3 linked regions of the Mus musculus genome follow. The protein of the gene in region 1 binds, or shares a complex with, the protein of each later gene. Links are inferred from orthologs where the notes say so. Each region holds a gene or a part of one and is shown in the gene's direction. Other genes may lie near its edges.

Region 1 (4,391 bases):
GAAGATGACAAGATACCTCTACTTACTGTTTCGGGGTGAAGGTGGGTGGAGGACTCCTTTCAAAGTAGCCCCAATAGTGTAACCCAAACACGGTTCCGGAATAAAATACTAAGAGACACTTTTCCTTTCCCACCTTTAGCTGCCGACTTGAGGCAAAGATGCATCTCCACATCACATCATCTATATAGTCCTGCCGGGAGTTTGGGGTGGAGACTGGCCCAGAGTAGGGCACCGAGTGTGAGCTGGGCGCCCAGACACTAACGAGTTACTGAGCCCCCCCAAACCCTGCACAAGATCCTTGGACCAAAAGTCCAGCCCGGGACTCCTGCGTGCTTCCCAAGCCCAGGCCGCTTATCTCTGACTCCAGCCATCTAACTTACCATCTACAGACATTCCTTCAAGACGATCGCAGCACCCAAGTACACGTCACAGTTTAAAACACAGCGAGACACTCCCCAAACAAACCAGCACACCTCGAAACCACCTTACAGTTTCTCAAACTCCCAAGCAGGAAGACCCCCCAACTCCAGGATTCAAACCTTCCGCCGGTCCTGAAGACCAGAGAGAAGTTGGGAAGCCATCGACGCCTCTCCACGCCCGCCCCTCACAAACTGCCCCACCCCACAGCCCGCGCACGGCCGCCCCCTCGGAAGTACCCCTACTTGCTCCCCTATGCTCAACCTGGCTACTCCAGAGACCCATCTGTGGCGCCTACTCACTTTCTCTCCCCCCCAAACATCTCGACATTTTTTTTTCCTTAAAGTAATGAGAGAAGTGAGGAAAAGAGACTTGAGGCAGTCCAGCTTGCAAACGACCCCACTCACCTTGGAAATCCAGCTGAGAGTTCTCTGCACCCTGCTCAGCCCCCTCCCCAGCGTCCCAGTGCAAGGCTGAGGGAGGGAGGAGGAAGGCGGGAGGGGGAGGGGATCTTCACCGCGGGGCGCCCTGCGGGAGGGGCTGAGGAGGGCTCCAGGCCCGCGCAGGAAGAGCCTAGGGGGGAGGGGAGGCCCCTATCTCCCAGTCTCCCCCTGAAAACCTCCCTTGTCTCAATCACATCAGACTGACTGTCTTTGTCTGGCTGACAACCGCCATATTGATAGCAACAGCCCCGCTCCCACCTGCTGCCGCTGGGCATCCCTGGGAGTTGTAGTTTCCGGTTCCCTAGAGGAAAAGTGCAGAGTTGAGGGTCTGAGGCCCTAGGGAACTACAGCTTCCAGCAGGCACTGCGCCCATACGCCTTCCCACAGGGAGGAGGGGAGCTGGGAGCTGAAATCGTGCGGACTACACATCCCAGAATACCATGGATGCTAGACCCAGATGAGGGACATGATATCATGCTGGGATGGAAAGGAAGGATGAATTGGCGGCGGCGATGAATTTGAGCGGACGGAAGGAGGTGATTAGAGAGAAAAGGGAGGAAAAGGAAAGACGCCCACAGTGCCCATGATACCTGCAGTAAAACTACATTTCCCGTGAGGCTCTGGAAAATGCTTAAGGAGTGAAGACTCCAAGTCCCGCGATGCTCTGGGCTATAGAGATTAAACCGGAAGATCCTTCCCTGTCTTTAGAAGTGAAGAGACTGGTACTGAACAACCAAAAGTCCGATATGAAACTGGTGAGTTTCCACTACTAAGTCAGAGGGCAAAGGTAATGAATGCTATATATCTTTGGAGTCTGTCGCCTCCACCATGATTTATCACGGAGGGAGGTCAGCACTTAAAAATTATAAAGTGAGCTGGGTTTTGCGATTGGGATTTGAATTCCCGCTTGCTCACATCCCACAGCTCCTGCATCTGTCAGGAGGTCTTCATTACTGTTTGGCAGATCCCTTTGGCCGCACGTGAGGTTGTATGTTACATTTCTTCACCCTTGGGCTAAAGATAGGCTCCAAAACTTTGGTTTGGTCATGTTTCTCAGCCTGCACCTGAGAGCTATAATAGATCATCAACCACTTTCCACTTAATGAGCACTTGAGTGGACTCCTACTGATATTGCGAGGCTGGATTCCGATCTGAACAGAAAGTAGGAGCGATCAGACAGAAGGTCTAAATGTCCTGTTACTCCTAACTGCAGTTCGAATTACAAGAAAGAGATGCTAAAGGGTGGTGCCCTTGAAGGATTCCCGTCTAAAGCCTGCTTGAAATAAACAGCTCTAGATAAAACATGCCTCCTGAAGAAGTAACTGTGTGGCAAAACACTAAGCTGACAGGTGGCCTTTTCAGATATTTGCTTTGCCCCATTTTTCTGAGCACACCGTTCTAACAAGTTGTTTTATTCAAGCTTAATGGAATAAGTAATAGAGTAATAAGGAAATTGAACGCAGGTGTGAAATGCTTGTCGTCGCCCTCCTATTCCCTACATTCTCACTGCCAACTTACTGTAGAATCTTCCTAATTGCTACGTGGAGAGAAATATCCTCAATAGAGTGAAGTGTGTTTGGTATGTTCTGTTTAAGAGAGAAGCGATGCAGAAACGTTTATTCCAGAACAACTTTTTTTTTTTTTTCTCTTCTTCTGTTTTTTTGAGATAGAGCTTCTCTGTGTAGCCCTAGCTGTCCTGGAATTCTCTTTGTAGCCCAGGCTGGCCTCTCAGAACAACTTCTTTGGGAGGGTATCAGAACTTAGGTACTTTTTGCTTTACTCATAAAATCTTCTTGCTTAACGTATACACAGAGGTTAAAGCAGGGAAGGAGCAAATGGAAAATTAGCCATTCCCTTTCAGAATCAAAAGCTGGCGAAAAGAAACCAGATGTGGCACACCTTTAATTCCAGCACTCAGGAGGCAGAGGCAGGCAGACCTCTGAGTTCTAGGATAGCCAGGGAAGTTATACTGAGAAATCCTGTCTCAAAAAAAGAAAGAAAGAAAGATAAAGAAAAGAGAGAGAAAAAGAAATCAAGAAAAGGAAGTATTAAAAAGAAAGAAAAGAAAAAGAAGTATTCTAATTATTATCTTCCCTTTCAAACAGTGTAGATCCAATAATTAATCCAATAATTACTATCCGAATATCAAAATAGTTTCTCAGTAGGTTAAACTTGTGTGCTGTGCCTACCAAAGGGTTTGAATAAACTTTCTCAGGTCCTTACATTTTAGCTCTGTTTACTGCTTTAAAAATGTGAGGTTGGCTATGGGTTTTGTATATTATAGGGACTAGGGATCTATGTCAGTGGCAGCATGGTTGCCTAGGATGCACACAATACATTGGGTTTGGTCTTCAGCATGATGGTAATGAGTTACATTGTGAAACACAAACATGCTTTTGAACAAAGTCTTGTTTTTGAGTAAGACTTTCCCTTGCTGGGCAGTGGTGATGCACACCTTTAATCCAAGCACTTGGGAGGAGGAAGCAGGCAGATTTCTGAGTTGGAGGCCAGCCTGGTCTACAGAGTGAGTTCCAGGACAGCCAGGACTGCACAGAGAAACCCTGTCTCAGAAAAACAAAACAAAACAAATAAGACTTTCACAGGTGCACATGAGGGATAGCCACATCTTGATTCTTTTCCCTTAATGAGAATTTCTTGAATAGGTCTGTTTTTCTGTCTTCTTACTAATACTGCTTACTTACTTACTAATACTGTGATGGTTTGTTTCACTGGGCATTTGGAATTCAGTAAGACCTTCTGTCCTTAAGTTTTGTTTTTGTTATTGTTTTTGTTTATCAGCTTCACACAAAGCTAGAGTTATCTGGGAAGAGGGGTTTCAAATGAGAAAATGCCTCCCTTTAGTCTGCATTTCCTTGATTGACGATTGATGTGGATGGTGTCAACCCACTATTTGTGGTACTATCTCTGTGCAGATGTTCCTGAAGCTGATAAGAAAGCAAGCTCAGCAAGCTGTGGGGAGCAAGCAATAAATAGCCTTCCTCCATAGCCTCTGTTTCAGTTCCTGCCTCTAGGCCCTGACTTCCCTACGTGATGGATGTGATCGGGATCTAAACTAGTTAAACACTTTGCCTCCTTTTGGTCACAGTGGGTGTTGTTTATGGTTTTGTTTGTTTAGTTGGTTGGTTGGTTGGTTTCGGTTCGCCTTTAGTTTTGTTTTGTCTTGAGACAGGGTCTCACTATGTAGCTCCGGCCATCTTGGAACTCACTCTGTATACAAGGCTGGACTCGAACTCACATCGATCCACCTGCCTCTGCCTCTGCCTCTGCCTCTCTGCCTCTCTGCCTCTCTGCCTCTCTGCCTCTCTCTCTGCCTCTCTGCCTCTCTGCCTCTGCCTCCCAAATGCTGCGATTCAAGGTATGCACCACCACATTTAGCTTGGTCATCGTGTTTTACCACAGCAATGGCAAGCAAACTGGAACACCTTCTAAGTGCCCTCCCGGCATTCAGTCTTGATCTCTTCTGGGGAATCTCAGCTTGTTTTTTTTTTTTTTTTTTTTTTTTTTTTTTCC
Region 2 (4,074 bases), on another chromosome or scaffold:
TCTCCTTTTTGAAGTTAGGCCTCTTTAAAATGATTGAGTCACAATTTCAGCAGCGTCAATGGCAGTGTATGCTCCTCAAAGTGCAGTTTAACACTCATATAGCTTAAAGTTTGATCTACTAAATATGACAGCAAATCAGTTGTATTGTAACAGTTTATTCTCATGGCATTTCAAGACCATATTTACATGTTTAAAGTCACTTCCAGTTCTTGCTTTTTAAATTGTGGGACAGCACGAGGGAAACTTGACAAATGCCACCATCTTTAGCAATAATGTGGTACGAGATACACTCGTTTATTTTTTCTGACCTTAAGGAATTTATGACAAAGGATTTGGTGGTGAGTATGGCGGGGGATGGAGATGGGGTGGTGTAATTCCCCAGTCAAAGTTAGAGAGGTATGTATTAGGGTATTCTTTTTTTTTTTTTTTTCTTTTTTAATTTAAGCCAAAGCAGTTCTCGTGCAAACTCAAGCTTTCTGTTCGTGCTAATAATGGAAGGGCAACGCTGCTTTGGTGGGGATAGCAAATGTCCCCAAATGCAGCAGATCCTAACTGTAAAATAGTACGCATGTACAGCGTCCAATCAGGAAGGGCTGCGACGTAAAACTATGTCTTTGGGGAAAGTTAAGTCGTGCTCCAAGAGGTCTTTTTTCCTGCACTTAACTCAAAACGACCACACAACCCCCTACCAGGCAAAGCTGCCCTGTTGCTCTACCCACGCAGGGAAAAGACTAGAGGGATGGCTCGCAGCCGAGGGGCCCACGCGTCACTCAGCGGAACGGCGCGAAGCCCGTCCATCTGCACCCACAGCAAAAGCCTGCGGTGAATGTGGGGCTGGCAAGACTCTCAAGGGCTGCGAGCCGTCACCGGTCCCACCCTGGCCTCCAAGCCCAGCCCCGCCGACCCCTGAGGGCGAGCGCGGATCTCAGGAGGCGGCGGGGGGACGAGCGGCCCGAGCGCCCTCTTTACCTGGTCGCAGGGGCGCGGCCAGGCAGGGAGGGCGCGGGAGCATGCGGGCGACGACGCGGGCCACCGCGCCTTCCCGCCCAGCTCGAGCCGGGACTCCGAGGCTACTTCTGGAAGCCGCGGCCTGAGGAGGAGCACTCGCCTCCCAGCGAGGCCCTGAGCAGGGGAAAGGGGGCAAAAAGAAGGAAGAGACAACGTGTCTGCGCGTCCCCCGCCCAACGCCATTCATAATCCGGCGGACCGGAAGGAGTGCCCTACGTCACTTCCTGCTGTCTCACTCGGAAACGTTCCCCTTCCGACCTGTTGCGGGAACCTTTGTTTCTCTCTTCTTAAAGCTGGTGAGGGCGGGGACGGATTCGAAGAGAGCTACCGGGAACCGACCGAGTGGCGGGGCGGAGCGGTGAGTGGTGACGAGGGTCCCCGCTTCCTGGCGCCTCGGGGGGAGGCTCGAGACCCCGCGAGGGGCGGCCGGAGCGGAGCTCCGTGGGCTGTCGGTCTCCTCCCTGCTGGAGGGGAGACCTCATAATTTGCGGGGTGGTTGCGTGGCTCCGCCTGAGCGCTCCTCCTAGTCTGGAAGGACTGAGTGAGGAGGGCGCCGAGGACGGTGGCCCGGGGGACCGGGACCGTGGAATTGTCCAAGACCTTTGACCGAGGGTTCCGGAGACCTCTGTACAGCTCCCGTTTTACATCTCTGTTCTGGCCTCCTTGAGAAGGACTTACCCCTATTCGAGGCCGCCCCCAGTGTGTTTTGATTCCATCAAAGAATTGGCATTTCGAAGTGTCTCTTGACTCTCCTTAGCTTCTCTAGCGCTTGGGTTTGTTTTGGAATTGGGGTTTTTACATCCTGAGTTTCCAGACTTCCCCAAAGGCGAAGCACTAAATGGAAAGAAGAAGTTAATTGGAAAGGATTACAGAATCTTGCAGAAACACGAATGGGATGGTCTCGAGTGTTGTAATGAGTATTGCACTCTCTGCAGTTTCCTTTATCTCATGCACTAGCAGGTGATCAACTTAGAAGTTTGTTTGAAACTAGTAGGCAGGGTGAAAGAGATCTGAGAGAAAGCATCTATTTAGGTAGGGGTGCTCAATTTTGTTTGGGGACATCACAGCAGCCTTGAAAAGGACCATTTTGGCAAAAATCCAGTTGATTCAATAAATATTTTTTAAAAACACCTGTGAAATGCTACTTGCCAGGGAAATTCCTGCATTCCCCCTCACATTCCCCCTTCATAAACTTCTGCTCTCATAAAAGCTATACACTAGTGAGATTAATAATTAAAGACAAATGAAAGAGTAGAAAGTGAATGTTGCAGGTCAGAGCACTGTACACATCCCTACCCATAAAATAGACGATTGTCTTGCTTTTTTGTGTTTGAGTTATGTTGAGAGGAAAAGACAGTTGCATTTCATGAATGCCTTTTGCTGAAGTGACTAGAACTGTGTAGAGTAAAAGACAAGAATATTAGACTTCGGTGAGTTAGCTGAATATAATAGTCTGGTCATTGTTTTCAGAGTAACAGAGAAATAAGAGGAAGTGAGAGAAAAACCATACAGAGTCATCTGCCTTGAGATGGTATTTGACAACAAAATGCTCATGACTGCTGAAGAACAAATTGGTAGTGAGACTAAAGCAAGACAGAGCATTGGAACAATAGTGGCAAGAATGAGAAAGCCAGGGAAAGAGAGGTCCAATACCAACTTAAATGTAAAAATACAAAGTATCCCTCTTGTATTCACCTGATCTTAAAATAGGGGAGAGTAGCTAGAGCTAGAAGGGGACTTGGAAAAGGGAAGCTGGACTTAAAACTGACTTGGAGAAATAAAGAGTCAAGAGGCTGCAAGAGGTCCTGTTCAGTAGGAAAATGTAATTGTTCTTTCTGGAAAGATGGGAAGTGAGTTGACCAAACAAGCATGAGAATGCTAAGTGTGAAGCATGCTAGATAGGACTAATAACCTGGAAGAGAATATGGTATTTCTTTCAGTGGCACTTGTTTGGGTGTAGACGGGAGAAGATGCCAAATAGAAGCATGTCTACACAGTAGGTAAACCTTAGAGCAGTGGGATAAGGATGCTTAGAGAACTGGAAGAGAGTCACGGAACGGCTTGTTCTAGAGTGGAAGCCGAACAGGAAGGGAATAGCATACTGCCATAAACAGAGGTAAGCGATGCGGGGAGATTATTGTGTAGGCTGGCAGTTGCAGTGTGTCTTGCATAGCTACAGGTACTTCCTGGTGTGCCCCAACCATCCCTCCCACCAGCGCTAGCTATCACTGCCACATCCTAGGTTATTGATAGTTTTACAGTAATAAGTATTCATTTTCTTCCTTTCTTTGTTTTAAACAGTGCTTAGGTTTTTAAAATAAACTCACACTTAACATATTCTTTCATCTATCTTCCTGTTCTCTATTTACATGTACATTGTTTATGCCACCTACTGCTTCTCTTTGGTTTGAAAAAGAAATAGGAGCAAGAAAGAAGGGGGGGGAGGGAATTAACTAAAAAAAATATTGTCTTATAATACCCCAGATATCTTCTTGAGTTAAAACAGTGGAGAAGGAAAAAAAAAAAGGAAGATATAGTTTGCAAAGAAGGAGGCTGTTGATTGTAGTCATAGAGAATGGTGTAGCAGACTTCACATTTCACTAGCTGAAAATGAAGCTTTCTGTTAATGAACTAAATAAAATTATTTATAAAATGTTTTAGAAGATCATAATATATGCTTAATTAAAGGTAATGTCAGGGAGAGAGAAAGAAGGGCCTGGCCCTAATATTATGTAAATAAACCCCTGAGGTCAGAGGTTGATAAATGGAGTCATGGAATTTCTAAGCTGAGCAATACAGAAGAGGTTCTATCTGAGTACTGTTATAGCTTTTCTGATGGAACAAGTCAGAGGAACACTTCCGTGTTGGGAGCTGTAAAACATGATGTCATTAGTGAGAATAGTAAAGACAGATAGATAGTGCTTGAGGAAAAAGGAGGAACTATAGAGGAATGTGTTATTAATGACTGGGCTAATAAAGCTAGTTTGAGGAGGGTGAAGGGCTGAGCTCAGTAAAAACACTGGATGGATTTGCAGGATGAGCATCTGTGCTTTAAAGAAGCCATGA
Region 3 (2,583 bases), on another chromosome or scaffold:
CCCCACCCTGATAAGCAAGGGCAGGGCTGGAGGAACTCAGAACACATCGTGTTGAGGGACCAGAGCAGCACATGGCCCGTGCTATGGCTGAGTACTTACGTCTCCTGGGTTCCGTCCTTGGCTCGTCACTGTATTAGTTGGATTTCTTGCTGCTGAATCAGAATTCCTGAAGAAAGCAGGTTAAGGAAGTGAGTTCGTTAGGGCTCATAGTTTGAGGGTGCCATCCTCCTGGTTGGGTGAGCCGTAGTGGTAGGAGCTTGAGGCAGCTGTAGTCAGGGTGCAGAGAGATGGACGCTGGCACCTGGCTCACGTTCTCCTTTCTATTCAGTGTGAGACCCCAGCCGTTCTGTGCCTTAGCCTTCCCTAGATGCTCTATCACGGTCACTCAGAGGGCGGTCTCATAGCTGCATTGGATCCTTGACAAGTTATCAGGGTCGGGCCGACTTTTTTGGAATTCTCCAACCTGCAGGGCCTACTCATGGACCTTATGCATATCCTGTCCACTGACTCAGAGGGCTTCCCTCGAAGGGCTGTGTTACGGGTCTTCACGGACTGGCTGAGGGATGGCCATGCTGACGTGGTTCGAGACACGGAGTGGTTCGTGGCCACTGTTCTCCAGGCAGTGAGCCGGGATCTGGACTGGGAGGTCCGAGTGCAGGGTTTGGAGCTGGCACGGGTGTTCCTCACCCAGGCACTGGGCCAGCCCAGCCTCCACTGTCCCTATACAGTGGGCCTGCCCAGGGCCTCCTCTCCCCGCCCACACCCGGAATTCTTGCAGACTCTCTGCCGTCTGCCGCTCTTTGAGTTTGCCTTTTGTGCCTTGCTTGACTGTGACCGACCGGTGGCCCAAAAGGCCTGTGACCTGCTCCTCTTCTTGAGGGACAAGACAGTTCCCTGCAGTAGCCCTCGGGAGGCAGGGGACAGCCCCAACTCAGCCTCAGTGGAGGCTGCCCTGCAGAGGTGGCGGGAAGGAGAGCAGGCCCAGCCCCTAGGGGACCTGGATCCTGAGGCCATGCTAGCCATCCTCAGGGCCTTAGACCTGGAGGGCCTGCAGGGCAGGCTGGCCAAGAGCAGCGACCATGTGGAGAAGAGCCCACAGTCCCTGCTGCAGGACATGCTGGCCACGGTGGGTGTGTTGGAGGAGAACGAAGCTGACTGCTACTAAGGCGTGTCCACGTCCTGTCCCTGTTTCCATCCTGTGCCAGCAGGAGGACCCCAGCCCAGGTCAGCAGCTCAAGAGACCCTGCAGGGGGTGGATCACATGTTTTAAGCCGGGTACGATAACACACCTATGATCACAGCGTTTAAAAGACCAAGGGAGGAGAATGTAGAGTTCCCGGCCAGCCTGGACTAGATAGCAACCCTGTCTCAAGAAAACCCAAGAAATCAAATCAAAACAAAATCTCCACCCTTTGTGTGCTGTGCATGCAGACCGGAGGCCAGCCTCCAGTGTTCTTCCTCAGGTGCTGTCCACCTTGGTTTTTGAGAAAAGGTCTCTCACTAGGACTTGGTACTCCCTGATGAGGCTTGCCAGTGAGCTCCAGGGATCCCGCCACCACCTCCTCAGCACCGGGATCATAATACTGTATCCCTGTGCCTGGGTCTACATACATGGGTGCTGGGATTTGAACTCAGGTCCTCATGCTTGCACGGCAAGCACTTTACCCACTGAACCATCTCCCCAGGTCCCACAGAATCCTACTTTCCACGTGTTATTAAAGAGGTGGCTTGTTTTCTGCTCAGAACAGGTAGTACTGATGTCTATAACCTTCAATTGTGTATGTGGATTAACAAAGCCCCACTGTGATCTGCATATGGCCTTCAGCTCTCTGCTCCGTCACCCAACGTTTGAAAGTCCCATAATCTTTAAAGAATTCAGATACATTAAAAGTTCAAAGTCACAACTGTGGGTCCTGTAAAATAAAATAAAAAAAAATTTTTTTTAAAGTTCTGTCTTCTCTTTGAGGGTAGAACCACAGCACAGTTACAATCAAAGCAAACCCAACATCCAGCAGTGTAAAAACCTCAGTGTCTGACATTTAGAGCTCACTCTAAGCTCCTGAGCTCCAGAGGGCTTGGGCTTCTTCCCCCACTTCCCGGCTCCGCCATCCACAGCGCACACCACTGGTTATCCCACAGTCCTGGGGTCTCCACCGCAACTGAAACTGCACCTTCATCAGTGGCCTCTCCTGAGTCCTTTCCATGATAGCTTTAATCTTGTAGCTTTTATGTGACTGACCAGTACCACATGAGATTTTTTTTTAAACTAAGTTTATCTGGCAGCTTGAGATGCAGCCTTGGTCCCCTCTGGACCACAGAGGGGTGTGTTGACCCTGAAGAGTTCCTTCCTAGAAGATTTACCTCAGTGGTGCTGGTCTCTGTTAATCACAACTGATTCTTCAGCCCCAGCTGACCAGAAAGATTCTGATTTTAAATATATCACATGAATGGTCCTGATAGTCTTAGTGTCCTCCTAAAACTTCACAAGCCAGGCCTCTATTATCTGCATTTCTCTGAACACTACTGTCAGCTCCCACATAATAGCCCCTTAGGCTTTGAGCAGTCAATGGCGTTTGCAGTTCT

The links.
Region 2: Ints9 (region 1) and Ints12 share a complex: the UniProt entries of both Homo sapiens proteins name them as parts of the integrator complex. The link is inferred for Mus musculus from reciprocal best matches to the Homo sapiens genes INTS9 and INTS12.
Region 3: the proteins of Ints9 (region 1) and Brat1 are in contact, whole or in part, in a cryo-EM structure (PDB 8UIB), measured with the Homo sapiens proteins. The link is inferred for Mus musculus from reciprocal best matches to the Homo sapiens genes INTS9 and BRAT1. Residues at the interface, in NP_060720.2 of Homo sapiens: Gly276, Met277, Gly279, Glu280, Cys282, Ser283, Asn284, Ala286, Leu287, Arg290, Asn291, Tyr315, Asp317, Ser318, Ala319, Gly320, Ser483, His484; in NP_689956.2 of Homo sapiens: Ala406, Pro407, Cys416, Pro460, Gln506, Lys507, Arg508, Cys510, His511, Pro512, Arg517, Glu545, Leu549, Gln552, Asp556, Pro557.

Annotation. Positions count from the first base shown.
Region 1 is NC_000080.6:64,948,753-64,953,143, forward strand, and holds the start of Ints9 (integrator complex subunit 9), read left to right. Parts: upstream 1-1,540; 5' UTR 1,541-1,606; coding exon 1,607-1,615; exon of another isoform or gene 1,616-1,647; intron 1,648-4,391. UniProt on the Homo sapiens protein: Component of the integrator complex, a multiprotein complex that terminates RNA polymerase II (Pol II) transcription in the promoter-proximal region of genes.
Region 2 is NC_000069.6:133,090,611-133,094,684, forward strand, and holds the start of Ints12 (integrator complex subunit 12), read left to right. Parts: upstream 1-1,244; 5' UTR 1,245-1,366; exon of another isoform or gene 1,367-1,429; intron 1,430-4,074. UniProt on the Homo sapiens protein: Component of the integrator complex, a multiprotein complex that terminates RNA polymerase II (Pol II) transcription in the promoter-proximal region of genes.
Region 3 is NC_000071.6:140,717,433-140,720,015, forward strand, and holds the end of Brat1 (BRCA1-associated ATM activator 1), read left to right. Parts: intron 1-469; coding exon 470-1,165; 3' UTR 1,166-1,947; downstream 1,948-2,583. UniProt on the Homo sapiens protein: Component of a multiprotein complex required for the assembly of the RNA endonuclease module of the integrator complex.